Tamandua tetradactyla: one gene and its partners. The protein of the gene in region 1 interacts with the protein of each later gene in a pairwise test. Links are inferred from orthologs where the notes say so. Each region holds a gene or a part of one and is shown in the gene's direction. Other genes may lie near its edges. The genes, in order: ZYX, IMP3, VASP and NEBL.

What was found.
Region 2: the proteins of ZYX (region 1) and IMP3 interact in binary tests that used the Homo sapiens proteins (3 or more experiments, as listed by UniProt). The link is inferred for Tamandua tetradactyla from reciprocal best matches to the Homo sapiens genes ZYX and IMP3.
Region 3: the proteins of ZYX (region 1) and VASP interact in binary tests that used the Homo sapiens proteins (3 or more experiments, as listed by UniProt). The link is inferred for Tamandua tetradactyla from reciprocal best matches to the Homo sapiens genes ZYX and VASP.
Region 4: the proteins of ZYX (region 1) and NEBL interact in a two-hybrid assay, tested with the Homo sapiens proteins (2 studies listed by BioGRID and IntAct). The link is inferred for Tamandua tetradactyla from reciprocal best matches to the Homo sapiens genes ZYX and NEBL.

What each region holds. Positions count from the first base shown.
Region 1 is NC_135327.1:186,997,635-187,004,935, forward strand, and holds the start of ZYX (zyxin), read left to right. Parts: upstream 1-4,246; 5' UTR 4,247-4,447; coding exon 4,448-4,661; intron 4,662-5,097; coding exon 5,098-5,297; intron 5,298-5,419; coding exon 5,420-5,512; intron 5,513-5,632; coding exon 5,633-6,151; intron 6,152-7,301. UniProt on the Homo sapiens protein: Adhesion plaque protein. Binds alpha-actinin and the CRP protein. Important for targeting TES and ENA/VASP family members to focal adhesions and for the formation of actin-rich structures.
Region 2 is NC_135338.1:66,331,488-66,338,632, forward strand, and holds IMP3 (U3 small nucleolar ribonucleoprotein IMP3), read left to right. Parts: upstream 1-4,111; 5' UTR 4,112-4,240; coding exon 4,241-4,795; 3' UTR 4,796-7,013; downstream 7,014-7,145. UniProt on the Homo sapiens protein: Component of the 60-80S U3 small nucleolar ribonucleoprotein (U3 snoRNP). Required for the early cleavages during pre-18S ribosomal RNA processing. Part of the small subunit (SSU) processome, first precursor of the small eukaryotic ribosomal subunit.
Region 3 is NC_135342.1:15,509,848-15,517,167, reverse strand, and holds the start of VASP (vasodilator-stimulated phosphoprotein), read left to right. Parts: upstream 1-4,193; 5' UTR 4,194-4,543; coding exon 4,544-4,548; intron 4,549-6,316; exon of another isoform or gene 6,317-6,469; intron 6,470-7,320. UniProt on the Homo sapiens protein: Ena/VASP proteins are actin-associated proteins involved in a range of processes dependent on cytoskeleton remodeling and cell polarity such as axon guidance, lamellipodial and filopodial dynamics, platelet activation and cell migration.
Region 4 is NC_135327.1:229,742,607-229,750,454, forward strand, and holds the start of NEBL (nebulette), read left to right. Parts: upstream 1-4,728; 5' UTR 4,729-4,937; coding exon 4,938-5,018; intron 5,019-5,174; coding exon 5,175-5,246; intron 5,247-7,848. UniProt on the Homo sapiens protein: Binds to actin and plays an important role in the assembly of the Z-disk. May functionally link sarcomeric actin to the desmin intermediate filaments in the heart muscle sarcomeres.

The sequences.
Region 1 (7,301 bases):
TAGGAGCAGAAAAATCAAGCATCTACTTGGCCTCAGTTTCCTCTTTTCACTTGTGAATTCATTCTGTCACTACTTTTTTTTCCTCCTTGACTGCTTCTAATTTCTTTATGTTGTGTGCCTTTGAAAAAAACTTTCTGGTACCTAGTGGATAAAATCCTTGGAGGCTGGTAGGGATATTTTAAGTAGCACAAGCCAGTGCTTTCACAGGTTCAAAACTGTACAAAAATGTCAAGTAGTCTCTAAGGTACTACATGCTTTGGTCCCCAGCCCTCCCTTATGTCTCTGACCACATCTTCTTCTTGGTTGCTATTACTGGTGCTGCTCCAGCCACAGTTGCTTTCTTACCATGCCAGATAATCCAGACACTCTTCCATTTTAGGATCTTTGCAAAGGCTTTTCTTCCTGTCTAGAATGCTTTTACCTCCAATAGCCACATGGCTAACTGCCTTACCTCTTTCAAGTCTCGGTTCAAATGCCACCTTTTCCATGAGGACTTTCCGGCCCCTGTTTTAAATCACACTTTATGTCTCTTTTTCAATCTTTACATATCCTTATGACTTAGATGTTTTCCCTATATCAGCGTATAGTTGGGCCTTATTTTTTAATTGAGCATGGGAAGTCTTATAACTGCACTAGTCTATTTGCATTTTATGTGATTACTGATATTTTTTAGTTAGGTCTAAAATCTTAACTATTTTTATCTGTTCCACCTATTTTACACTCCTTTTTCTCTTCATTCTTGACTGCTTCTGGACTAAATTCTTTATCATTCCATTTACACCCGTATTAGCCTACATGTTATACACTAAAAAAAAAAAAAGCCAGTGCTCATTTTCTTACTTCCTCTCCCTTGCCTGTCCCTAAACTGTTGGGCATGCCTTATATGATATCATCTACTTATTGCATCATTTTACACCTACTACTTGAGGAAATCAGTTATAATCATTTACTTAAGAAAAAGACTTTTAGTTTGTTAATGCTGCCAGAATGCAACCAGAAATGGGTTGGGTTTTATAAAGGGGATTTATTAAGTTAAAAGTTTACAGTTTTATGTAAAACATTACAGTTTTAATGTCATAAAAATGTCCAAATTGAGGCATTCAGAGAAACATACCTTGACTAAAAAAAAGCTGATGAGTCCCAGAACACCTCTGAGAGCTTGGAAGGCATGTGACTGGCATCTGCTAGTCCTTTCGCTTCTAGTTTCAAACGGCTTCCCAGGGGCATTTTCTTTCTGCATCTCTAAACATCTCTGTGTGGGCTCTGAAGCAACTCCAAAATGTTTCCACTTTTAACAGACACCAGTAAACTAATCAAGACCCACCTTGAATGGATGGAGTCACATCTCAATCTAATCAAAAGGCCACATCTCCATTGAAACAACCTAGTCAAGAGGTCCCACCCTACAACACTGAATCAGATAAAGAAAACATGGCTTTTTAAAAATTAATAATAATTTTAAACCAGCACAATGCCTAAGGATAGTTAGGGCTGCTCTTGTACATTGTCTGCATTTTAATAGCATTGACCCTGCAGCCCCCCTGAGCCATCCTGGGCTACTAGGGCAGTGATTCTGTCCTTCTGGAACACTCTGTGTGCTTCTACTTGTATTTAGAATGGCTGGTTTAAAACTCTTAAGCTTTAATATTCTGCATCCTGAATGCTCTTTGTTGTCAGTAAAACTAAACCTGCCTACGCGCTCTTCTATTCTTGATTTATAAATAGGTTCAGCTGCCTAACAATTAAACATGCTATATTTTCCACACGCACATTCCTTAAAGACAGAGGATAGATGGCTTTTACTTTTATAAACCTATCTGGAAACCATCTAACTTTTTTTTTTTCAAGTAGGGATAATTTGAAGGACTAGTGGTGAGATTTCTGGTCCCTGAAGCTCAAGATACAGTTTCCAACTTGCACAGGGACAGACCCAGGATTAATTAGCTTGTATGTGTCAAAGAGGTGTGCACTGCATGTTATACATGGCTACACATGCTTGTGGATGTGAGAAATACTGGTAACAAGTACAAGTCAGCTGAGAAAAAAGAGAGGTCATGCGGGCTATGAAGGCAATGAAGATGGAGTCTTAAGTAAAATAAAGGATAAGGAGAGGGCATTTCATATACCAAGGCTCATGAGAGATTTGCTTGGGAACAGAGAAAGGTATATACGGGGAACTGGGTCAGAATTTCCATCTTGGGCAGAACTGAAACTTGAAATGATAATACTGAATATTATATAGCACTTTTAGATATGTATTTCATTTATTCCTTCATATAATGCATTAAATATCATCAATCTTTTACATATGAAGAAAAAGAAGCAGAGTATTAAGAAACTATATTAGTTTGGGTACTCAAACTGACTCCCTTGTAACCATCACAGCTTACTGGCATGAAGAATGCAGAATGATCATGAAAGTGGGAGGCATTAGAGTGTAGGGGAATGAGCTCTGACATGAGATGTGTCAAGATATTCAGTACTAGTCTAGACCCTGTTTCTAACTGGGTGCCAACCTAGGTCGATTTCTCTCTGTTTTTTTAAAATGTAATTTTATTGAGATATATTCACACACTATACAATCCATCCAAAGTACACCATCAGTGGTTCACAGACACTTCATTTAGTTGTGCATTCATGACCAGGATAATTTTTAGAAAAACAAATGAAAATAATAAAGAAAATCCCCTCCTTTATTGACCACTAATATTGCACTCTACCCAATTTTAAGACTTATAATAGAGATAGGTTAACTAAGACAGTGCAGTACTGTCAGACATCAGTGGAACAGAACCAATCATCCAGAATTAGATGTATACAAAAGGGGCAATTATTATTATTATTATTATTTTTGCTATATAGTTATACAATCTTTATCAAAGATCAGGTGGACCCATTACTTAACCTCTCAGTCTCATATTTCTCATCCACATTTTTAAAAGGTGAGTCTGATTATCTCTAAAGCATAGCTCAGAAGCTCATGACGTTAGCTGATTTGGAGGGTCAGGGACTGGGCCTACTAAGTTGGTGTGAAAAAACCTTAGATGGCTGTGAAGACTGACAGGACAAAAGGAAGCGCCTTTGGGATGGTATATTGGGGGAAAGAGTGAAAGACGACGTCTCCATATGCAGGCAGTGAGTGTGGAAGGATTCAAGAAATGTTTATGTAAATTTCCGTATACAATTAAAAAAAAAATCCAGGTTTTGTCTTCTTCGGGTGGCCTGGAGCAGAGTCGGAGACTGAGGAACCGGGTCCCACGAGCCGGAGGCTCTACGGAGCGCGGTCCCGGCATCCCGGCAGACCCCACGTTCGCTGATACGCTCCTTGCGGGGTGGGTCGCGGTGGGCGCCAAAGAACTGTGGAAGACGTGTCGCCCGCGTCCACGTCGGTCCTCACTGCCCCCGTCCCCGCCCCGCCCTTCCGCTTCCATTCATCACCGGGCCAGGCACGAACTCTCCCTGTTTTATCAGATCCGCAGGCAGGGGCGCGGGTGATGCAAATTCCTAGAAGACTTAAGAGGCTGCCCAAGGTTTGAAGTTAGTATCCTCCAATAAGCCCTCGAGGTTCGTGCTCACACACATCCAGGTCACCGAAGGGCCTAGGTGGGCATAGAGAGGGAGAGATTCCCCCTCACCATCCGCGTCCACTTGAGCCAAGTTCCACCGCAGTCCTAACAATCCCGGCTGCCTGAGGGGTTTTGGGGCTGGGCGCCCGAGGCTCGGGGCGGGGGATGGGGGTGGGGGAGGAGCAGCGGAGGGTGGCGTGGACAGGTAACAGTAGGCCCAGAGAGGAACGGGGACGCGCCGGGATAGAGGTACAGTTGGAGCCAATTGGGGACCTCTGGGTCACCCCGTCCGGCCTCCGCCGGCTCAGACCGCAATGGGGACCGTGAGTCAGATCTCCGGCGCCCGCGGGTCAGGCTGGGGGTGGGGGCAGGTCAGGAAATGACATCAGAGGCCTGTGTTTGGGGAGGGGTGGTCTGCGCCCGGCCGGGGCGGCGGGGGCGGGAGGACCTTCGCCGAGCCTTCGGCCCCCGGCAGGATCAGGGCCCCTTCCTGGGGGAGTTTCCTGCCTCGTCCGCCTTCCCCGCACTCCCCGCCCCCTCTCCGGGCCGCTCCTTGTATGGTCTCGGTGCCGCTCTCTTCCCGCCCCCTCCCTCCCTCCCTCTTCCCTGCGTCCCTCCCCGCTTGGCTGGAGGCGGCTCCTGACCGGGACGCAGACACAGCGGACTCAGCGCGGAGGCGGCCGCCCGGGACCCGCGCGCACGCTCCGGCCCGCGGTGAGACGCGGGGAGCCGCCCCGCGGCTGCCTACTGGGAGAGGGTAGCTGGGCGCCGGGTTAGGCGGGTGGGAGAGTCCCCGAGAGGAGCTCGGACCACAAGGGAGTCCTCAGCGCGCTTCCGCGCTGCGTAACCTGGCGACCCACCCCCAGCAGCCCGGCCTTGCCATGGCGGCCCCCCGTCCGCCTCCTGCGATCTCTGTCTCTGTCTCGGTCTCGGCTCCGGCATTTTACGCTCCTCAGAAGAAGTTCGCCCCAGTGGTGGCTCCAAAGCCCAAAGTGAATCCTTTCCGGCCTGGGGACAGCGAGCTCGCCTCGGCGACTGGGGCTCAGCGTGCACAAATGGGCCGGGTGGGCGAGATCCCCCTTCCGCCCCCGGAAGGTAAGCCGATGGGCTTGAGAGCTGGACCCCCGCCCGCACGGAGTGGGGGCAATGTTTTCGGGAGTTCGGGGGTGTCTGGAAAGGTTGCTGCAGAGGGGGCTGGGCGCAGCTACCCTGTCCCGAGCAGATGTTCTTACCTCATCGCGGAGCTTATGGCTGGGAGCCAAGGCTCCTGGGACCGTTCCAAGTCCCCTGCCCGGGGGTGGGAGACGGGAATGTGGGGCACCGACCTTCCCTTCTGGGTCCGTTTTCCGAAGTGTAACGGGAGCTGCTCCACTCCTTTGCAGTGCCCCTGCCGTAGCTGGCCCGGTGCTCCCAGAGCCGACCCCACACTCCCGGGGACCCCTGAGAGAGTTTTTGGGTTGCAGATTGGAGCTGTAAAACAGGGCAACTGGGGAGAAGGAACTGACAGCCCTTTCTTTCACTCCTATCCCAGATTTTCCTTTACCTCCTCCTCCCCCCCTTGGGGAGGGTGACGACACGGAAGGTGCTCTGGGAGGCGCCTTCCCACCCCCCCCTCCACCGATTGAAGACCCGTTTCCCCCTGCGCCCCTGGAAGAGGAGATCTTCCCTTCCCCGCCGCCTCCTTTGGAGGAGGAGGGAGGAACTGAGGCCCCCTTACCCCTCCCACCACAGGTATGGAAAGGCCTGGGACACTCCCTGGGAAGAGGGGAGTGTCCTTTCTTCCTTATCACCTCTGTTGGAAGTGGGGTGGGAATGGAGGACTGGGATGGGCTCTCTGACTTCTGACTCTCTAGCCCAGGGAGAAGGTGAGCAGTATTGACCTGGAGATCGACTCTCTCTCCTCGTTGCTGGACGACATGACCAGAAATGATCCCTTCAAAGCCCGGGTGAGGGTCAAGAGGAGAGGCTAGGAGAAGCAGGGCCCATATGAGAAGAGGCATGGGGATAAGACTAAGGGTGGCATTCTTCTCTAACTGTACTTCTTTCTTCTCTGTCTCCCCTTGCAGGTGTCTTCTGGATATGTACCCCCACCCGTTGCCACCCCATTAATTTCCAAGTCCAGTACTAAGCCCGTAACTGGGGGCACAGCACCCTTACCTCCTTGGAAGCAAGTCCCTTCTAACTCCCAACCTCAACCTCAGGCTCAGGCCCTGCCTCAGAGCCAGACACAGTTCCATATCCAGCCCCAGGCCAAGCCTCAGGTCCAGTTCCATGTCCAGTCCCAGCCTCAGCCTGTGTCTTTGGCTAATACACAGCCCCGAAGTGCCCCGGCATCATCATCTTCAGCTCCAACCCCTAAGTTTTCTCCCGTGACTCCCAAGTTTACTCCTGTGGCCTCAAAGTTCAGCCCTGGAGCCCCAGGTGGACCTGGGTCACAGCCCAATCAGAAGCTGGGGTCCCCTGAAGCTCCTACTTCTGCTGCCACAGGCTCCCCTCAACCCCCCAGTTTCACATATGCTCAACAGAGGGAGAAGCCTCGAGTACAGGAGAAGCAGCACCCAATGCCCTCACCAGCTCAAAACCAGGTGAGGAAGGACTGCAGGACTAGACTGAGTCCAGGGGGCTGAGGTCAGGGTTAAGTCTGGATCCAGAGAATGAAGGTGACTCAAGAGAGTTGGAGGGAGGTAGCGGTGAGGGGATAGCAATTTTCATCCTCTTGGTTAGACTAGCGGGACTACCATAAAAGAAAGCACTTCTGGAAGAACAGGCTAGCATGTCTGGTTTGGGTGGGGACTGACTGGGAACAGTGAGAGCAGCACAGGCTCTAAATTAATAAGAACATTTGGTGGACTTTCCTTTGGACCTCTGCTCCAGAATGTAAGAGGGGAGGGATGAGATCACCAGGCAAACCTTGTTTCTTCCCCCATATTGAGTTAATCTCTCCAACTCTTACCACCGAAGGGCCCATCTGATGATAAGAGTAGCAGCATCAGTAAACACAGGCTGAGCCAGCATTGTTGGGTGCCAGATACTGTGCTCTGTGCTCAGGAGTATAGGACATGGGAAGAGATTTCTCAAAGAGGTTAAGAGTGCCGGAGTCAGATGGCCCTGGGATGGAATTCTAGCTTGGAAACCCACAAGCTATGAGACTCTGGACAAATTAGGTGAATTTTATACCTCAGTTTGCCCACCTTTAGAACAATGTTGTCTATCTTATACTATAGTTGTAAAGATCAAGTGAGCTAATGCATGGAAAGTGTTAGGTTCTGTGACTAATGCATACATGCCAAAATATGAAAGCTGTAGTTACATAACATTGCTCTTGTCTTCTTAAATCTTACAATCTGGTTTAGGAAACTAGAGCTTCAGAGTTGAAAAGACCCTGGTATAGTCTAACCAATTGTAGAGTTAGTGAATGTCTGTATTTACTCATATAAGGAGAAATGCTGAGTGCTGATGAGATTCCTGTTACAGGGCTGTGTGACAGGGGCTCAGAATAGGGAATCAACTGTGGAGATGGTGTATCCAGAAAAATGGCTATGACTTAGAAACCTGGAAAGGAGAGGGAAGAGCATTTGGATGGGAATAGTGAAATTCAAGAGCATGCATACTCAAGGGGTGCTTAGAGACTAGAAAACAGAAGGTTCCTTTGGAAAAATTATAGAGCTATACTTAGAGAGGTAGGTGGGAGCTAGAAGGTAGAAGAAATTGAATAGCACTCCTGGGATCTTGTGA
Region 2 (7,145 bases), on another chromosome or scaffold:
CTTTATCTTCTATGCCCCACTAGCCAGGCTTTCACCCCTATGTTCCACTAAAACTGTTCTTGTTAAGGCCATCAAAACCTCCCTGTGGCTGGATCCCAGTGGTCTTTTCTCATGCATGGATTCTCTAAGATTCTCTGTATCTTACTCAGCCTCTCAGCAGCCTCTGACCTGGTTGATGACGTCTTCCGCCTGGATACACTCTCTTCCTTTGCACTGAGGACACCACACCCTCCTGATTTTCCTTCTACCTTACTGGTTCCTGGTCTTCTCTCTGATAATTCTGAATATTAGGGTGACCACAGTACAGTGATCTTCTTGTCCTCTCTAAACTAACTCCTCTGATGGTTTCATACAGGCTCATGGCTTCAAGTATCATCTATATGCTACTTATGCCCAAGTGTTTTTTATCTCCAGTTCAGACCTTTCTCTAAAACTCCAAAGTCATATATCTTTCTCCTTCATATCTCCTTTTGAATGTCTAATAGACATCTCTAATCCATCATGTCCAAAACTGACTTTCTGATCCTGTCCCCAAATCTTTTCTATTTGCAGCCCTCACTATCTCAGGAGATGGCAAATACATTCTTCCAGTTGCTCAGGCCAAAAACCTGGAGTCTTCCTTGACTCTTCTTTTCTCAATATCTCTCTGCTGCTCTCCTGGTCCAAAACACCATCTTTCTGGCCTGGATCACTGCAACAGCATCCTAACGGTCAGTCTGGTTCCACCCATCCCTGCCTACAGTCTACTCTCAATGCAGCCCTTGGAGTGATCCTTTTAAAAAATAAATCACATTATGTCAACCTTCTGCTCAAAATCCTGCAGTGACCCCATCTCACTCAACATAAAAGTACTTATAAGGGCCTATAAGCCTCTGTGTTATCTGATTGCCTTTTAACTTCTTCCTCTCCTCCTTGCCCACCCTGGTTTAGACAAAATGACTTTTCTGCTCTTCTGACATATCAGGCACATTCCTGCCTTGAGGATTTGCACTCACTGTTGCTTCTTCCTGAAATGCCCTTCCCCTAGACATCCATATAGCTACTTTAAAAATATAACCTTCTCAATAAGACCTACCCCTGCTATATCTTAATTAAATTTACAGCCCATCCCCACCCTACATCCTCATTATTTCTTACATCCTGTTCAATTTTGCTTCATATCAGATTATCATAATTACCTGTGTATTGTTTATTGTCTGTCTCCATCCCTTCACTGGAATATAAACTCCATGAGGCAGGGTTTTTTGTCTGTTTTGTTCATGATGAATCCCAAGCACTTAGAGCAAAACCTATTCCATAATAAGATGATCAATAAATGTTTGTTGAATAAATTAATGACTGATGCTTCTGGCTCCAAAAATAAATAAAAATGATTTCACTTTTGCACATGTGGAGTTTAGGTGCCTGTAGGAAATTCAGGTATAGAAAAACAGTTAAGATTTCATGGTCTGGAATCAGGCACTCATGGCACTTATCAGCTCTGTGACCCTTGGCAAATTATTAACTCCTCTATCCCTCAGTTTCCTCTCCGGTAAAATGGAGACAATATCTTGTAGAAAACTGTGAGTACTAAATGAGATAATTCATTGAACCTTACTGCAAGTTCTGGTTGTTAGGAAGTGGACAACATGGTTGAAAATATAGATCTAAAGCTCAGGAGACATCTGACCTGGATTTACAGATTGGAGAGTTGTGAACTACACATGGTGAAGCCACAGACCTGAACCTCAGTTTAAACTAAACTGGAGAAGCTGGGAAAGAAGAAAGTTAACCAAGAAGTTAACCATGCTGCAGGAATGGTGAGCATGGAAGAAAATGAGACTGGTGCAATGTGAGGGGTGGGGAGAGAGCGCACACAGGGAGAAGATGTTTGCAACATACTGAACTGATTAAGGATTAATATTCAGTATATATTTTTGAAAAACACCTTCAAATCAATTTGAAAATAGCAAGCAATCTGTAGTAGTGTCTTATTGCTGCTATATGAATCATCACATACTTAGTGGCTTAAAACAACACAAATTTATTATCTTATACTTCTGGAGATCAGAAGTCCCAAATGGGTTTCACGGGGCTAAAATGAAGGTATCAGCAGGAATATGCTCCCCCTGGAGCCTCTTATTGAAAATCCATTTCCTTGCCCTTTTCAACTTCTAGAGGCTGCCCACATTCCTTAGCCCTTGGTCCCCTTTCTTATTCAAAGCCAACAATCACATCACTCTGGCCTCTGCATCCATTGTCACATCTCCTCTGACTCTCCTGCCTCTCCCTTTTTTCATTTATAAGGACCCTATAATTATATAGGGCCCACCACCCAGATAATCCAAGATAATCTCCCAATCTTAAAATCCTTAATCACACCTGCAAAATTCCTTTTGTCATGTAAGGTAATATTTTCACAGGTTATAGGGATTAGGATGGGTCATTTTCGGGGCTGGGGGGGGGGATTACACACACTCCAATGGGAAAATAGACAGAAGATATGAACAGGCCTTTCACAAAGGAGGAAACACATGAAATCTTTAGTTATCAGAGAAATGCAAATTAAAATTATAATAAAATGCCATCACATACTCCCCAGATTGGCAAAAATTTTAAAAAATGACATCCAAGCATTGGCAAGAACGAGGAGCAAAGAGAACTCTCACACATTGTCAGAGGACTATAAATTGATACAACCCCCTTGGAAGACAATTCAGCAATATGTAGTAAGGTTGAGCATACACATACTTTAAAGCTAACCAATTCTAAGATGTATACTCAAAACTCTTGCAAACGTGCAACAGGAGACAAGTACAAAACTGTTAACAGCACCACTGCTAAAAATATTCTCTCCAAAAAGTCCAACAGGAAATGGATTAACTGAACTAGAGGGTCAAACAATGGAATATTATGAAGCAGGAAAAAAACAAAGCAACTAGAGCTGCATGTAACTGCATACAGTATATTTGCTATGCAGCACTCTTCCAACTACTGGGTGCATTCTGGGGGTCTTGTTAAAATGCAGATTGATTCTGTAGGTCAAGAATGAGACCTGACTGTCTACATTTCCAGCGAGCTCTCCGCTGGTCCACGGGCTATACTTTGAGTAAGAAGTTCTACAGTATATTTCAGGGATGCGTGTATAGTGATAAAACTATTTTTTAAAAAACAAAAGGTAATAAACACAAGATTCAGGGGAGTAAGTACTTTTATCTCTGGGGTTTAGCAGGGGCTGGACTAAGTAGATGAAACAATCCTGGTGATGTTATTTTTCTTAAACTGGCTGTTGAGTTCATGAGTATTCATTCCTTATATTTTATAACCTACATACGTTCCATCTGCATATGAAATTATTTTTTTTTAATAATAAAAAGCATACAAAATAAAACAAAGTGAACGGCGGAGAAGCTAGGAGGCATCAAACGCGCAGGCAAACAAAGGAACGAGCCTGGCAACGCAACACTCAGATGCAACTACAAATTTAACTAATAGAAATAGCTTTAAATTTGTTAACTCAATACTCAGTGGCCGGAAATCCGCCGTCAGGCTAAATAGGTTGAGCTCAGACTAAAGGATTAGGATTTGAACTCACATCCCAAGTTTTTCAAACTTAACTGGGTTGTAAGAACCACATGGGACTCTCGTTAAACATACAGGAATAAGTCATAGGTCCGGTGCCGCCCAGACCTACTCGGGAGGGAGAAACAACCCCGCCCCCCAGTGAAGAAGGGCCTGACTCAGGCGGGCGGCGGGGGATATCGGCCTGTCCCTGGGCAGGCCGGCTCCAGGAAGCCCCCCACAGGGTGGGAGAAAACAATGGTCAGTAAGCACAGTGAACTCAATCACACATGCCCGGCGGTCACCCCTCTTCCCCGGAATTGGCCTCTTCAGCTCTATCGGGGAAGATTTCTCCCGAGGGTCCCGGAAGAGCTGAAATCAGAATGGGTGGAAATCAGCCCAATACTACAGGCTGCACTCTTGGATACTTAGAAGCCCGGGGACCGCCCCTAGTGCTACTTCCCACTCTGTCAACGAGAAGAACAAAAAAACCCGCGAGATATAGATGCGGAGGCGTGAACACATTCCAACCAATGGCGATAGAGGGCGTGGCTTTGAGTCCTTCTTTCATTGGCCGGGGATTCCGAGGGCGGCCTGGGTTTCCGAGCGCGCTTCAGGGCGTCACCACCTCAGGCGGAAATCGCGTGCGTGTGGGAAAGTCGGCCCAGTGGGTGGTTTCGCTGCTTTGGTTGCTGCCATCATGGTGCGGAAGCTAAAGTTCCACGAGCAGAAGCTGCTGAAGCAGGTGGACTTCCTCAACTGGGAGGTTACCGACCACAACCTGCACGAGCTGCGCGTGCTGCGGCGTTATCGACTGCAGCGGCGCGAGGAGTACACGCGCTACAACCAGCTGAGCCGTGCCGTGCGCGAGCTAGCGCGGCGCCTGCGCGACTTGTCCGAGCGCGACCCTTTCCGCGTGCGCGCCTCAGCAGCGCTCCTGGACAAGCTTTATGCACTGGGCCTGATACCCACGCGCGGCTCGCTGGAGCTCTGTGACTTTGTCACGGCTTCGTCATTCTGCCGCCGCCGCCTCCCCACCGTGCTCCTCAAGCTGCGCATGGCGCAACACCTCCAGGCCGCCGTGGCTTTCGTGGAACAGGGACACGTGCGCGTGGGCCCCGACGTGGTCACCGACCCGGCCTTCCTTGTCACGCGCAGCATGGAGGATTTCGTCACTTGGGTTGACTCGTCCAAGATCAAGCGGCACGTATTGGAGTACAACGAGGAGCGCGATGATTTCGATCTGGAAGCGTAGGGGGACTCTTCTCTCCATGGCCGCGTTTTAGTAGATGGGAACGCTGAGGACTGCTGGTACTGGAGATCCTGTAAGGGCACTCTCGGCTAAAGCGTCTGATCCGTTGTTTGTCCGTTCTTCTCACTGTTAAAGAACTTGACTCCACGGTCGCAGGCCACGCACAGTGGTGCACTCCTGTTTACCAGGATATTTTCCTAAGAACGTGAACTACTGAGGATTAAATGACTGTGCCTTAGGACACAATCGGAAGCAATTTTGTGTGCTGCACTGAGAAATTATTAGCTTCTTGTGCCCGAGAAATTACACATTGTAGTGTGAAGGCAAGAACTTTTCCCCATCTTTCCTTTTATCATCTTAAAGCAGGACTGTTTGGTTCACTTTATTTAACTCGAAGTTTTGCCCCTGTTGCTGATTAAGCTGTGTACAGATGATGGAGAGTTGATCTCAAGTTTCTAAAAAATGGGTTAACTTTAATGTTCAGGTCCCCCTTTTTTACGGGAATGCTTGCCTAATCCAATAAATGGTCGGACAAGTTTGTAAGTATAGCTTTTTGTCTCTCTGCTTTTCTTCTATAAGGTCATATCCATGGGTATCCCAGGCTCAGGAGCCCAAAGAAGAGGAATGGGATTAGTAGTAACTTGGCTGTGAGTGAGGCCTGCGACAGCTGCAGCATGGCAGAGGTTGCAGAGGTTGGGCAGCGGTGGGCAAATTTGTTAGTTTACCAGTCCCTTCCAAATCCCTAACGCCTTTTGAGTGTTTTGGCAGAGCTGTTTCCTTACAGGACTAGATGCTGATATTCCAGCCCCAGGAAATGCCATATTAGAGAACTGAAGTGCTTTGCTTGCCTAAGGAAATAATCATCCTGTAGCTTGGCCATCTAGTGGTTAGAAGTGACCCAGGAGATTCTTGGAAATTTACATGTTCTTAGGAATGGTGGAGAATTGAGAGGGAGAATTAGGGAGATAACCTTTTACTCAAATCTTCTAAAAGAATAAATAGAATGCTGAGACCAATGGGTTGACTTTTAAGTGTGCCTTCTCCACTTGCCAGGTAGGAGGCAGCATTTGATGAAGAAATGATGGAGAGTGACACTTGATGATAATAGCGGATGCTTCTATATATCAGGCATGGGTTTAAATGTATTATGTGTTTTAATTCATTTCATCTTCCCATCAATTCTATGAAGTGGGGAATCCAATTACATTACTGGGGTTATATGCTTTCTTTAGGAGACTGTCAGGGTTGAGAGTTCCTGAATCTGAGGGCCAACAGAGGAGATGCCTGTTCTGAAAAGAAAAACTGGGCCACATGGTTGGTCCCACCAGGATGCTGTATAAAGATTTGAGCTGGGAGCAGGCAATACTCAGGTTAGGAGAGGGAGCCAAGTCTGAGGCCCTGACTGTGCCTGGCTGTCATTTACTCTTCCTAACAACTCTGCAAAGTAAGTGATGTTATCCCCACATTTCAGATTGGGAAATAGATATGGGACCAAAAACTTGTCCAAGGCTGGGATTCAAGTCCAAATCCTGTGTTTTTTAGGAATGCAAGTAGACGGAATCCCACTCCTCAGCCCTGGTGAGTAGGCACAGACTCTGCCTATTAGGTGGAGTGTTCTTAGGACTCCCTAGGAGTGGAGATCTCATGGGGAGGGAGGGTAAGATGGCTCTAGATGTTAGGCCCCCTGCTAGCCCCGCTCTCATTAGACTCCACAGGGCAGGTCGTTCCGCCCCGTTGGAGTAGTAAGAGGCCACACCTTTGGCTCAAGCAGATACAACTTCAAAGTTCTCTTGAAGGAAACTGGGTATAGGACCTTAAAAATAAAATGCAAGTTTCTTTAGAAGCATCTTTTTTCCTTCTCCTTTTTGGGAAGGGTGTGAAAGAAATGACTTACCAGAACCAGCAACCAGAAACTTTGGATTTAAGAATATCTTATTCAAGGCAGGACAGACATGACTTAGAGGACAGGCTCTGAAGCCAGACTACCTGGGCTGAATCCTGACTTAATTTGCTGTTTAACTAGCTGTGTAACATAAGTTGTTATACTTAACCTCTCTGTACTTCTTTTTCTCACCAGAAAAATGGGGGTAGTAATAGTACAGAACTTAAAAATTATAGGGAGGATTAAATTAGTTAATTCCTACAATGATTTAGAAGAGTTTCTGGCATGTAGTAGCTCTCTCGCCCCGTCCCACCCCACCCCAGGTCACAAAGGAAATACACAGGGAATTACACCAAAGAAGCCTAAAAAACCAAATATATATATATATATATATATATATATATATATATATATATATATAATATGTACTTACATATTATATATTTATTTATATATATAAAAAAACAATTG
Region 3 (7,320 bases), on another chromosome or scaffold:
CCCATTACTCTCATCTCCCTCTCAGAGCTGTGCACCCTTGCCCAGGAGACCCCCAGCCTGAACACGATTTTCAGGACTCTGGCCTCGGAGGACATCCTGGATTTACCCCCCAGGGGGAGGGCTGGACTGTAAGTGAGTGGAGGTGGGTTGGGGAGGGGTTTGGGGGAGGGGTAGTAGGTGGAGGGTCCCCTCCTGAGGGCCTCCCCCTGCTCCCCAGGGCCACTGTGATCGCTGAAGCATATGCTCAGATCTGTCACTCAGAAGAGTGCTGGGAGGTAAGGCCCCTGTGTTCTTGAATGTTTCTCTTAGTCCCTCTCTCCCCTTTAGAGATGGGGAAAGTGAGGCCACAGAGGAAAAGCAACTTGCCTGCTCTATTAGTAAATTCCTACCCCTGACCCGGAAGCACTTTGCCTCAAAGTGGCATAACAATGGGCTACAGAAGAGAAAGAACTTCCCTTCCAAAAAATACACCTCCTGGAAATGCTCTGTAAAGCCCCATCATCCCAGGCACAGCCCCCTGGAATGTCTTATCCCCTAGGAATAAGATAAATTCTGGAAATGGTAACAAGGACCCCAAGGCCTGGGGTGCCCTGCAGAGACTATCAAGATGACATCCTGAGGATGGATGACCCAGGTCTCCAATGGCTAGAGGAGAGGTGGCACGGTGGGGTGTGTGGGGCATCAGGGAGGAAATGAAAGGGGGGGAAGCTGGAAATCACATCCCAGAGGACTTTGCATGATTGGGGGAGGGCATCTGGTTTTTTGTTCTTCAGACAAAGGGGGATTGTTGATGGGTTTTCAGTAGCCAAGGATGGTATTGGTCACGATTGTTTGATTTGTGAATGATAGAAACCCAAGGCAACCAGGGTAAAGCAAACAGGAAATTTACTGGGTCACACACAAAACTGGAAAGCTCAGGAACTTAAGGTGGCTGGAGCCATTTCTCAGATGATCTCATCAGGGACCCATCTCTTAGCTCTCTGTTCTGAGGTAGTAGAGAGCTGCAGCACATCCCACCAGCTTACACTCGTGGTGGAGAGAGTGGGCCTGTTTCCCAGAAGTTCTAGCAATCCTCCCAGAGCTGGTTCTCATTGACCAAACTGGGCCACATGCATGACTGGTTACTATGCCTCTTACTGTGTCACGTGCCCAACCTAGCACTGGGGATTGGGGTCCTCTCCACCCAAACCTGATTGATTGAGAGATGGGAAAGGGTGGCCCTTCAAAGGAAAAGAGGGTGCTGCTTCCAGAAGACAGGCAAGTGGAGGCTGAGAAGGCAGGAAAGGGTTCCTATTCACTGTCTCCCACATTTTGTGTTACAGCTGGGACAGAGCAGGGCTGGGGAGCCGACCAGCACCCATCAGGCTCTGCCTTGGGTCTGGAGGCCTGACAGCTGTCATCCTTTGGAGACTCTCCACCCAGCTGGGGCCTCAACGGAACTAAGGAAGAAAACCGCTCCCTTCCCCAGCTACATGGACCAACGGAAGAGAGACAGGCTGATGGAAGAACCCCAGAATGCTTATTTCCCTCTCTCCTAGTTCCCCATCAATGAAAAGTCAGTTCAATAACCTTCCCTTTCCTTCCCATTCTTCCTGTGGTTTTGAGGGGAGGGTAGAAGGGCAGTTTTTTTTTTTCTTTATTATTAAATTTTAATTACAGAGGCAATTCAAAATGCATTTTTTTTCTTGTAGAAAACAAACATCATTTACGCAGTCACTTGGCAAATATGCATTGGCCATACATATTTGTGAGTCCTTGCTCACACCATGAAGAAGGTAGATCCACCGAGCCCTACTCCTGGGGACCTCCTGGGGGGGAGGGGGAGGTGGGACAGCAAACAGGCGTGCCAAATAAATAAGGTCATCTCAGACACTGATGAGTGTCATGGGGAAAATAAAACAAGGTGGTGTGATAAAAAGGCTAGGGGAGCTACTTTGGTTGTTTAAATTGGTATTCATCTATTTCCTCAATGGGTAATACATTCACTTAGTTTGAAATTCAGAAGGTGCAAAATGGCATAGTGTGAGAAGTCTGATGGAAAAGGAGCCAGATATGCGAACAGCCCAGGGAATGGTATTCCAAGGTTCAGGTAACAGCCAATGCAGAGGCTGGCATTTTGGAGATAAGGTTTGGGATCTCTGTGACTACCAAGGACCCCATAATCCCATCCGTATTTCCAAGGGTAAACTACAGTCATGAGTCAGGAGTGAACTTTTCCAGGTTTTTCATTCTGCCTGTAAACATATGTACATGTACTCTAGCAAATATATGATACCTTTGGTGTTTCCTTGCTTGGTTTCAGACTGTATCACTTGGCAACTTACTTTTCCCACTTGACAATATGTTGGAGACTTTTTCCATGTTATTGCACGCATTCTTTTAGCGGCTGTACAGTGCTTCAGAGAAGATGTGCAATGGTTTAGCTATCTCTCTTCCTGTTGCTGGACATTTAGGCTATTTCCAATTCCTTGCCCTAAGAGCATTGCTGCCACAAAGATCAGGCTCCTTGTGTTTATAAGCAAAGATTTCTCCAGTGCAGGAGTCTTGCTCCCCATTTTGTATGACACTTGAGCTAAGAATGCTTTTTATATTTCTACACAGTTGTTTGAAAAATAATAATAATATGCAAAAGAGATCTCATGTGAACCACAAAGCTCAAATATTTACTATATTAGACCTTTATAGAAAAAGTTGGCTGACCCCAGAAGTGCCACCCTTCCCATTTCACAGATGGAAAAGTTGAGACCCAGAGAAAAGACTTGCCAAAGTCACACAGAACTGGGGTTCTCATTCAGTTGGATAAATGTTTGTTTGCCCCAGCTCAGACCTTGCTGGGCTGGGTGAGGCCCAGAAGTCGATCAAGTCTACCCCTGCCCCCAAAGAACTCACAGCCCCAGGAAACACAGTTACACACAATTACAATCTAGGTGCTTCAGGGCTCAAGGTCCCCAGGGCAGCTGGAGGAGGGGACGAGGTTACTCGATTCCCCAGAGAAGAATCAAAGTAATAGCTTGGTCTAGAAGGGTGAGCCCCTAGGTGACGGACCCGACTGCATCCTAGCCTAGCTTGGACAAGGGCTGGGAAGGTTGATTTCCTCACCTGCTCTGTTGGGCCACGAGAATTTTGGTTTCACAATCACACCTCGGCTTTTGCAAGCGGGCCATAATCCAAATTTGTCCCTTCCTCCGGGCCTCAGTTTACCCGTTTGTTAAGGTCGAACTCCCGATTTGCCAGACGCCAGCCCTCCGGCTAAGGCACTTCACGCGGGCCAGGGGGCGCTCTTTGGAGGGTGTGGTCACATCGGTGACGTCACTCGGGGCGGGGCCTGCGGGACCCGCTGCGGAAGCCTAGGACTGTGTTTGAGCTCAGCCCGGGGCCGGCGCATTGGAGAGGGAGGTCTCAGGAACCGGCACCCGGGAGGATCTCCCGACCTCTGGGCTCTCCCGGCTGCTGGGATGATCCGTCTGTCCTCTGCGAGCGAAACTGAATCAGGGCGGGGTGTACCTGTGGAAAGGGCCAAAGGCCGGAGTCCCAGCCCGAGCCAGGGCCGGCGTCGGCCCCCACCCCACCCCCGCCCGCCTCGCCAACCACTCAACTCTACCCCCACCCCCGACCCTGCGGCTGTGAGTCAGCGACCGGCCGCGCCCCCTCGGCCCACTTCCTCCTCATCTTCCTCCCGCGGGCGAGGCGGGCGGGGGGCGGTGAGAGGGGCGGGGCCCTGCCCACCCGTCCCCTTCCTGCGCGGGGATCGGGGGGCACCCCTCAGTAACCCCTTATAGCTTGGCAGTGAAGACAAGAGATGCTGAGGGTCCTAAGGTGGCGTTTCAGGACGAAAATGTGAGGAAGTCACATTTTCCTTAACAGAGGGTTCTGCTTCCTTCTCCCCCACCCCCAAAATTGAGCCTAAGATAAAGAAATGGGGAGATCGATGGGGGGAGGGTGAGAAGGAAGAAATCGTGCCCCCATTTAGATCCCCCTAAGAAGTCCTATCCTGGGGGAGAACTACGGAACAAGGAAGGACCCTTTCCCTCCACCTAGCATCACCCCAATTTGGGGGTGACCCCCAGAGTGCATCCCTGTGCAATAACTTCGGGGCAGAGGGAAATAGCGGAAGTGGAGGGTCTACGTTGCCCTTTTAAGCGCCCTCCACCCCTCCCCTCTCCGCCTCGCGGTGGCCGCGGCCCCTTTAAGGCGCGGGGCATTGTGGGTGCGGGGAGTGGAATTTTGGAACGAAATGTAGCGAAGAGAAGTACAGTAGTAAGAGTAACGTTGTAGCCGCTGCCCGCCCGGGGGGCGCGCCGGGGAGGGCACGCCGCACCCGCTTTCTGCTTCAGGGACCCCCATCAAACCCCCAAGGGAAGGAGGCGCCCGAGGACCCGCCCCATCCCGGTCCACGTTCCCCCCAGGAAGCCGGACTCTATGGGGCGGGACCCTGGGGGAGACTGAGCAGAACGTGGAGCCAGCCCCGAACCCCTGAACCTCCAGCCAGGGGCGCCCCGGGAGTCCCCAGCCGGTGGGCGCGCCACCCGCCAGCCGAGCAGCCATGAGGTGAGCAGTGAACTGCCTCCGACCTTCCCCGCCCTGCGCGGGCTCCCCGCCCCGCCTTTGTCCCCCCTCCCCCAGCTCTCTCCGGGATGCAATTTGGGGACCCGGCACTGGGAGCCTCAGATTTGGAGCCGAACCCCTTTGGACGAGCTCCAAGTTATGGTCAGTTCCCCATGACTTCCAAGACTCGGTGTGGTGCCGGTGAGGTTCTCTCTTAGGAGCACTCAGATTTGGGGGCTCTCCGAATTTTAGATTTCCTCCCGGGATCTCCAAGTTGGCAGATTCTCCCTGCACGGATACCCAGAATTTAGGCAGGGCGTAGAGTCTCCCCCGAACCTCAACTTGAAGTCTGGGAGGGATTGTGGGGGGCTGGGTTGGGGGATCCGGGGTCTCGGAAGAGAGGCTAAGACATAGAGCCCGGTTACTGGGGTTCCTCTTTACTTGGTGCTGGAAAAAGTCTCCCCAAGTGGAAACGCGCTCCCTAACTTCAGGGTACTTCTTAATCCCTTGCATTTTGGGGGGGCGGGGCGGGAGGACATTCAGAACCTCCTGTGGAGAGGAGGTTGGTGCGGATGGACGGACCCGGATGCAGCCTCGAGGGTCTGGTTGGGACTCCCCTTTCCCGTCCCTCTCGGTCCAGAATCGTTCCGTGCCCTAGACGGAGCGAGCGCCGAGGGCGGCTCCCGGGCTTGGGGCCAGAAGGGCGGTCCCTCTCCCCCACCTGCGCGGCTCTGGGGAAGGAGGGGCGTCGCGGCAGCTGGGGGACGGGGGCCTTTGTCTTCCTGACTCACCTGTCGAGACAGCTGGTGTGGGGGGCGGGCTAGAAGCGCCCTGGGCCGGCTGCTTTCCCCACCCCGACCCCTCCCTCGTCACCCGTAACCCTCCTCCTGCCAGGCTCTCGGGAGCTATGAGGTTGGTGGGGGGGTGCAAGAAAGCTTCAAGGTCATAGCCCTCTCCCCCTGGGACCCAGGCTTGCCAGATAGTTCCAGCTGTCTTCTTAGGAATTTAATCCTGGGATGGGGGTGGCCCAAGGGATCCAGAGATTTTGTTTTACCAGCCCCCACCCCCCCAAAAAAAGTCCTGAACTCACCTGACGCCGGGAACTGGGGCGGGCTGCCCAGACTAGCCCACCATACTCTCCACCTCCCCCCCTGCCCCCGGCCCCCCATCCTAATTCCCTTGGGGCTGCAGCCTGACAATACTATCTCCCTTCCTCCAAGCTCTCAGAGACTTCCTGCCCCAAAGCCCCCAGCCTGAGGGGGAGGCCCCTGGGGACAGCTGGGGATTAACCCCCGGGTGCCCACACACTCCCATTTCCCCCACACTCCTGCCCTCTGACATCGGGGTGGCATTCCTGTTTATGACCATTAGGGCCGCCCCCTCCGGTTTGAGCCTTCTGATGGGAAAGGGATGGTTTGGAGCCAGGGGGGGCACCCATTGACACCCTCAAGGCTTCCTGCCTATCCTTCCCCACCCCCCACCCCCAGTGACATCCATGTCCCCTCTAGGTCTGCCCAGGATGGGGGGAAGGGTACGGTGTGCAGTAGCTAGGCTCTCTTCACCCTCTTCCCCCGGGACTCCCCTCTCCCACTGCCCCCAGCCCCACCCCCACCCGCGCGTTTCCGGTCCCAGGCACCGAGGAAGGCGGATGGCGGATGTCCGAGTTAGTGCTGCCTCACTCGCTGCGAGACCGTAAAAGGGCAGGAGCAGCAGCAGCAGCGCCCGGGCCGGGCCTCTGCCCCCCCCACCCCACCCCTGGCCCTCCCAAAGGGGCCCCCTCCTGCTGGGGCTGTGGCCAAACCTCTCGCCTGCTGGGGGTGGGGTGGAGTGGCAGGCCGAAGTTGAAGAGGGTCACTCCTACTTCCTGAGGGGTCTCCTCTGCAGGCCACTAAATCCACCTTCTTGGGCTGTACCTCTTCTGCAGGTACAGCTGGGATTCCAGACCCAGGTCCCTAACCCCAGCTGGGGAAACTGAGGCACAGAGAGACAGGCCTGGCTCAAGGTCACTCTGCAAATCCTAGGCAATTGGTAGGGGTGGGGCGGTGGGTGGGGTGGGGTGCTGGGGTCCATTCCTCAGATTTCTGGGTTGTTTGCCTGGGTTCACTTGTGGGGGCAGCTGGAAGGGAGGATGTTAAAATGGAAAATTACAAGATAAATTGCTTTTTCTCCCAGTTTGACAAATATTTGTCGAATGTCTGCTGTGTACCGTACTCTGAGCTGGGATTCTGGGAGGGCCAGAAAGGGGGAACAGAGTTCTGAGCATCTGGGGTGGAAGGAACTCAGGAAGAAATCGCATTCATTTTGTTCCTTTTCCAATAGTGGTAATTATTATTATTTTTATGAATTAAAAAGAAGGGCCTTTGATCACACATCTGCTTTGTGCTAGGTACTGTACTAGGTGCCTGATTCTTCTTAATCCTCACAAAAGTCCTAAGAGCTTGGCACTTTTACGACCCTCTCACCCCAGTTTATAGATGGGAAAACTGAGAAACTGAGAAGCTAAGCAAATTGCCTGTGGAAGTTAAACTGTTTGGAAGTGGCCAAGCAGAGTTTGAATCCAGGGCTGTCTGTCTCCCAACTATCATGTTATTAAAGAAAGGGGAAAATAAAACCTTTATTTATTAAGTACAAATAACCCACTTTCACTATAGGAACACTTAAGATAATACAGATAAATAAAAAGAAATGGGCAGGAAACTTTACCTTCCTGTTCACTTGTGGGAAACTGAGGGCCATGGGGGAAGGGAGACTAGAATGAAGACACAAGCCCCACAG
Region 4 (7,848 bases), about 43 Mb from region 1:
AGGAGTGCAGACTCTTCATTTTCGCACCCCAGACACTCCCAGCCTGGAAACTGCTGTGCTAAAAATTAGCTGCTGTTTCTTTTCTTCTCCTCCTCCTCCTCCAATGGCAGTTTAAATAGGAAGTTCTCATTTTTGAATTGGGTTTCTGGTTGGGAAAAATAGGAATATAAATACTGAAAAGCACTCTATTAAATCTTATTTTAACAGCATAATTGGTGATTAATTGGGTTACTTTGTATTCTTTTGATTTCTAATTAACAAACAGTAATGACATAGCTATTAAAAAGAGAAGGTATGCTTAATGAATGTAGATTGCAAAAATAGATTGATCTAATATCAGGCAGAAATCTTCTCTTTTAAAAAGGAAATAAATTGCCCTAGAATGCTTGCTGTTTCTTTTCTTAAGGACAGTCTCCCTCTCCCATCCGTTAGTAAAAGCTCTCTTTGGGGCAGATGCCAAAGTGGGAGGATAAATAGCCTGAGAAGCACCAGCCTTCTGGAGCATAATCTTACATTTTTAAAAAAGGCTGCTAAAACTGAGTGTGTGAAAGACCATCAAAGCAGGAAAAGAGGTCAGATGACTAATTTCTCTCCCAGCTGACTATCTAGGGTGAATATTTTGTACTAAGAAATGTTGAATTAATTTTTAAATGGAAAAGAAAAAAAACCAGTTTTATTCCTGTAAGTTTTCCTCAGCCCCATGCTGAATCCCGAGCTGCTGCCGCCTCCGTTAGGGCTCTCCTTTCCAAGGCGGACCTCACTGTGCTGGGAAAAGCACGTGTCCCACACTGTGAGGGGAACAGGGAACACACGGAAGTGAGTGAAGTCCGCGGTCTTTATCAGGAGCTGGGAGAATCTTGTAGCCTGTGACCTTAAGAAAAAAGCTGAAGGAAGACAGTCAGGTGCTCGTTTGCCCCTGGTTGTGGGATGGATGAGTTTCCTGGGCCAGGTGTGGGGTCTCCAGAAACCTGAACTACCCACGGTTCTGCAGTTGCTATGGAAATGTATTTCCTTACAAAACAACGCCTTGCTATAAAAAAATACAAGAGCCCTGTGTTCTAAGTCTTCAGCTGCCTGTTATTTCTGTGCTGTCTGGTTGTAGGAAGCCTCCCGTGCCTTTGAAGAGACGTTGATGGTCCCTGTCTCCCTTTTAAATGAGAAGACCCTTCCCCTTTCCCCTCAAGGGCTTCTCTGGAACTCTGTGTCCTTATGGGGTAGTTGAAAACTCTTGTCTTTGTAAGGGTCTTTACTCTTCTCAAAGGGGTTTTCTTTTATTGACTGACAGCAGTTCTGTTTTCTGTTTAACTGTGCAGAACTGGGGACCGAGGGGATTAAATCATTTATCCCGAGGCCACAGGAATGGAGCCCCATCTCCCTGTCATTCCAGGTCAGAGCTGGGGTGGAGCACGAAGGTAAAAAGTAGACAGAATGCTTGAAATCCTCATTAAGAAAAAGGTAGTAGGTGCTACATGGGTGATCTTTTTTGGGGTGCTCCAAGGTGAAAATATGTATCAGATTAATACCTGGCAGAGGTGGTACATTCTCCCCCCCGCCCCCCACCGGACGCACTCAAATGACCCATTCCTGAGACGCCGGCGTTTCAAAGAGAGTTTACTGCTGGGCACGAAGCAGGAGCTCAGATGGTCAGTGAGCCCGAAGACCTCTCTCCTCCAACCCAGTAACTCGGATAGTTTTGTAGAATTGAAAGATGGGCAGGGTTTAGGATCAGACATCATGTAGTGTAATTAGAGGTGATCTAACTACTGAGGATGTGCAGATTGATCACACGCTTCATCACAGAAAGTCTGTGGGAAAAAGGCCTTCATGTGTGGTGGGCATGATTTTATTATAATGAGGTCAGGTGACTTGTAGGTTAAAGTCTGAACTCCTGCGCATGCCAGGCCCACTTTGGTTAGATCCGGTCTTTGTTCTCAAGGTAACTTTGGTATTGGGTGGGTTAGTTCTGGGCAGACCCAAGGCCCTTTATTAATAAACTTCTGGGGCTGTCTTTAGTGATCACAAGACTCCAAAGTAAAAAAAACTGGATAAAATGGGTACAAGTGAGAGTCATTCATAAGGTTTTTATAATCACAAGGGCACAAGATAAAGGCTAAACTTTCATTATCAGAGGTCAAGGCAGCTGGGTTGAAGTTCAGAGATTTCAGGTATTTTCCTTTGTCTACTCTAATATACCAGAAAGTAAAAAGGAATATCTATAAAATGATTTGATAATCATAATCATCCCTTAAATCCTAACTTCTTGGTTACAAAATTGCAACATTGATCTTGGTTTTGAAAAAACAAAAAGGTGATAGGGAATTTTGAAACATGATGGCGCTCCTTCAAAGCTAATTTCTTCTTATTCCCCAAGTCATATTTTGGAGCTATTAATAAGAGCGATTTGCTGTGAAAAAACACTTGACCTATTTTTTTGGAGGAAACTTTATGTGGATTTTGTATGTTACTTGTAGGTGGAAGGAAGGAAGGTGCATTTAGTCAAAAGTAACGGCGTCTCCAGCTTGCCAAACAGCCCAGAAGGAGTTTATCCAGCCATCTTCAATGACGGCTCTTTTATTTCCTACCTTCTCTGGGTGGAAAGTTTGAGTGTCTCCCCCTTGCCTCCCAGTACTGAGCTCAGGGCCTGACAACACAACATTGTTGAAAGAATGAGCAAGTTAGGTTCTGCTCCCAGCACTCAGTTGAACAACTTTTGCAAGTGAGACTTACAGACCATTTCTGTGGACCTTAATTTTCTGCTCTGCAAAGAGAGAACTCAAGGTGGAATGATTTCTTAGGGATCCCTCTGGTGTTGAATTGTGATTCTAAAATCTCAAATAGACTTATTTAAAATTGCTTTCACATTACATGTTGGCATTTGATTTTGCTTTCAAGACTTTTCTGCATTAAATCTCAACAGGTTATGTTCTTCCAGCAGAGATGGAGAGACCATAAGAACATGATGGGGAATCCGAAAAGAACCGTGGATGAACCTGAGGAAGGTAATGCGTTATGGGGCTGAGATCTTTCCCTGAGCCGCACAAGCATCTCCTCTCCAACACGAGCCAAGGCTGTGTCCTAGGCAGCGTTGGCGAGATTTTCTCCTTATCCCTCTAGAGGTTGCAAGAAAAGCTTGTACAATGTCTATTTCCTATTGTCCAGAAGCAGTAATAGCACGGGTGTTCAATAGGATATTAGAATAATCATCTGGCAGAGTTCTTGAGGGGACAGTCAGAATTCACCCCACCTGCTGCTTTGTGGGACAGAGAAGCTCCTGGTTGCAGTCGCTGTGCTGGGCAGATGTGACACACCTGTTCTTTCCAAGTGAAGTTCTCCAACTTCAAGACTTTCTGGCAGTTTCTCTTTTGATGTTTTGCTGGTCAGTAGGATCTGTGATGCTATTAGATGAGCCAGTATCAAAACCAGTATCATGAAAAGACCAAAAGCAGTTCCAGAGCATTCCATGTCGTTAGCATAGAGAGAATGTTAAAAAAAAAAAAAATCAAAGGATTTCACGTTTGGGAAATGTGGAGGTAAGTAAAACCACATCGGTTTCTTGGTCTTGAGTCTTCTCAGAGCTTCTAATGTGGTGTGGAGCTCAAAGTGGTCTCAGTAAAGATTTAGTGTATAGGTCTCCAAAGATTGTTGATAGAACCCCTGTTTTTTCACAGAGTATTTTCTGGAACTTTTGCCCATGGAATACAATCTGAGAAATAATCTGTAAATAATGATTGTGTAGATTTTTTTTTGCCAGAATTTTCAGTTTAGGCAAGATCAAGGAAAATATTTTTTAGTAACTTGATATCTGGATTTAATAGCAAGAGAAAGCACCACTGTGCTTGGCTATTTTGCTGATGTATTATTTTGAATAATGTTGTATTTTATATAATTGGTTTCATTATTCACTATAGGGCATTTTTTAATGTTCAGCAGGATATGCTGTAGTTTTGCAAACCTTAATTTACCCTAGGATTAAATAACTGAATGTACAAGTTATGAGCTGTGTGGAGACTTGGAGTTTGTTCTGAGAAATTTTTTTATTATATGGTTGATGATACATTATAGATATTGTTATAGTTGATGTTTATATTTCCAAGTGTGGTACACATTGGAATACATAAATAACTAGAGAATTAAGAAAAATTGACACATGAGCAGGTTTGAGATGGTGACATTTCTAGAATCCTTAAATGATATAAAAAACATATGTTACCTGCAGTTTCTTATGTGTAATGAGGTTTGCAATTAAAATGATGTAAAACAAACTAATATAAGATTAACTGTCACAGTTAACTCAGGATAGATTTTTTATTTTTAGAACTGGTTCGGAGGGCTTACAGTAAATTATGAAAATAATATTATCAGCTGATATGACGTGGGTGTTTTCAGAATGTGGGAAGTACATGCGTGTCTCATTCACGTTTTAATGCCGGGCAGTGAAATGAGTTTCAGAAGTTCGGATCCAGCGCACCAGAACAGAGCTTTGTCTGACATTCCAGCAAAAGCTTTATTTAGGTGGCGTTTTGAGGGTCTTTGAGATAACCCTGTGTTCCACTGCGAGAGCTCCAGTGTCCCAGCTCGGCAGTGTTCCCATAAGCTTTGTGTCCTTTTCACACTATTTTATGAATGTTTCGTGCATTAGTGAGACGTGCATCCATTTTCCCCTTTGGGTTTCTTAGCCAATTTAAAGAATGCTGGCTTTATACGTCACAGCACTCCATTTTGTCTGCTCATGGGGCTGGCCTGGCGGGTGGAGGCCTCTCGTCCCGGCCACTGGCGCGGAGTTGAGATAAGGAGGTGAAGTGTGAGCTAAAGCGGGGTGAGGCCTGGGCAAGGTCATTTGTACCAGGACACCAGAGCACAAGGCTGCAAAGCCCACCGGCCACGAAAAGGCAAGCACGAGTGAATTTAACAAATACGTAGGTTTTAAAAGGGTCACTATGAAGGTCCCGGTATGTGAGGATTTAAAAGATGGAACTGAAGAAGAAAACGCAGGGGGGGAGGAGAACGAAGATGACATGGTGAGTGAGGGGATGCCTGCTGAGAGGTCTTTGCGTGGCTCTCTCAAAGCCAAAGATGAACAGGTTTCCTTTACTTGCCTCTCTCTCTCTCTCTCTCTCTCTCTCTCTCTCTCTCTCTCTCTCTCTCTCTCTCTCTCTCTCTCTCTCTATTGACAGGTGTTCTGGAAGCCTGTAATTGAAGACCTACGCATGGAATTGGCCAGAAAATGCACCAAACTGAACAGTGATGTGAGTGGCTCCAGTGATTTCTGTCGTATTTTGCGTTGTGTGTGAGGCACTAGGATGCATGGAATCCTGGGGCTGGGAGAAACTCTTGAAATTCTCTGTTATTTACCAGCTATGGAACTAAGTCCAGAAATTTCAAATGACTTCCCCAAGACCCCCTGCGGGAGCAGGTCTCCTCATTCCCTGGCCAGAATCCTGTCTGTTGTGGATTTCACTGTCCCTCTGGCATGAAATCATAAAGCATTGAATTTCAGAGCATATTCCCTGTGCGAACCCAAAGATTAAAAAAAAATATGTGTATAATGATGTAATATGTTTTGGGAGGATCTCTATCTAAATTAGTGATTTTTAAAAACGTTTTGGGGGCCTTTGAAGAATCTAATGATGAATGCAGTGGTTCCCCTAACCAGAAAAACGCGTATGCCTATATGCGCAACGTTTATTTACAACTTAGGATCCAGGGGTTCCCACACTGCAGGCTGAGAGCCCTGGAACAGATGACAGTGACTTTAGTAAAAAAGCAGCATTTTTTGTAACGATTTTTAAAGTAACTGGGATCAGTTTATATTATGTTTCAAGGGAACCACAGAATTATAGCATTATTTAACGCAGATATAGTTACAGTAAATACATAGATGAGAATTGCAGAAGCTCACAGACAGGTGTGCTTGCCGAGGGCGAGGGTTTAGGTCACCCTCTTTAAAACGGTGGGTGTAAGGCACCCCCAGCCTCATTTACTCCCGTTACCTGGCAGCCCATGGGTAACGGGCGGGGTGGGGGGATGGCTGCACCGGCCTGCCTGGGTGGACCTGGTTGTAATCTTGGGTGGGGATGGGGTGGGGTCCCGTGGCCTCCCGGGCTCAGGGCCTCACCTGGAACCCCGTGAGAGTAAGAACCACGCGGCCGTGCCTTCCAGGCTGGGGACCCCAAGCGCGCAGTGCACGCGCCCTGGGGGGGCTTCCTGAGTGTGGCTGTGGCCCTGCGGTGCCCCTAGGTTGTCAGAAACAGTGGGGGGAGGGGTCTCAGCACCGTTCCCATATCCTTCTATCCTTCGCGCGGTTGTAGTGACATTTTAAACTGTTTCTTTGTGCTGTCAGTTAGTCCCAATGTGTCGATCGTGAGCATTCGCCGTATACTGTAACAAGAATGAGGAGACCGCCATGATGATGCAATAACTGAGACTTCCAGGGTGCTGGGGCCTGGGGAGAAGGGTGTGTTAAATCCCCTTTCGGAGGTGAGGGAGGGAGGCTCTGAGGGGTCACGCAGTTCAGCAGTGGGGAGCAGACCCCGACCCCCAGCCCCCGCAGCTGAGGCTGCTTGCTGTATTGTGCTAGTATTAAGGACACTAGTGTCACCTTGAAAACCTTAAATGCCCAAACTCTCCACAGACAGGTACAGTAGGGTTGTCATGCCTAAAACTAAAGTGACAGCTTCAGTTAGGAGGTGATTTTGTGGGAGTTATTTTGGGTAACATAGTTTATCAGTGACTTTAAAATCAGCCCTGCAGTGAAAGGCTCTGACCTTACCATTTTGTAAAAGCTGAAGTCCCTCTCATGTGGATGAAATCACACACACGGCAGTGCTTTCTACTTACAGCTCGGTGTGGCAGAATGTATGTTTAAATATTTTATATTTAAATATTTGGATACACAAATATCAAACATTTAGCGCATGACTGTTGTGAATCAATTTATATCAGTTTTCATTTGTACTTTCTGTCTCAAAATAGAATTCTGTCCTTGTGAAGAAGGCACTGCTTTAATTTTTAGAATTTTATATTTATCTGTGCACAGTCTAAAAATTCTTCTTTGTTAAAAAAATGAAAAAAGGAGTGAGTATATCGGGTGTAAGTACAATCATTTAAAGATGCATTTTCATTTATCCTTTCTGGAAGGACTTGAACTAAATAAAATGTTGGTTTTTTAAAAGACTGGTTAAACAGTGTTACTAAATAGTAAGTTCCTTATTTGGTCTCAGTATCATCATTGTTTATATGGAGCAGGGGGACTTAGACATTGAGTTCTTATGTTGTCCAGAATGTTGTCCTCTCGGCTGAATGGTTGTCAGAAGTGTGTACTTGGTGCTATGTTCATCGTGGAGTGAAACCCGAGGGAGACCCACTGCGCTCAGCCAGGCCTGCGTGACGCCCCTCCCAGGGCCCCGCGTTGAAACTGTGCGCCTCTCCTTCCCTGGCCCAAACTGAAAGCTCAGCACACCTTCAAGTGAGGGCTTGTTTGGTAATCCACCGTGTCCCCAAATACCGTCCGTCTGTTTGCCTGAGCCTTTCTGGGGTTGGAAGTCACTTTTGGTTTTTGTCTGTTTTTTTGCATGAATTGGGTTGTGGTTTCCCTCCTTTCTAGAGTGTGGCATCTGGAAGCTTCCGGAAGCAGCCTCACAGTCCTGCTTGTCCAGACGCTCGGCTGGTGCGCCCCAGACTTGGGCTTGGAGATGAGCTTGATCACTGGAGATGGGCCACAGCCCTGTGTCCGCCACGTCCTCCCCACTCTAGGAGCGGTGCTCCCCTCCGTATGTCTTCTGCCCACAGTGCGCCCATGCCATGGGGTCTGCGGACCACTGTTGAGAGCTGGGGAATCTGAGGCCCCGA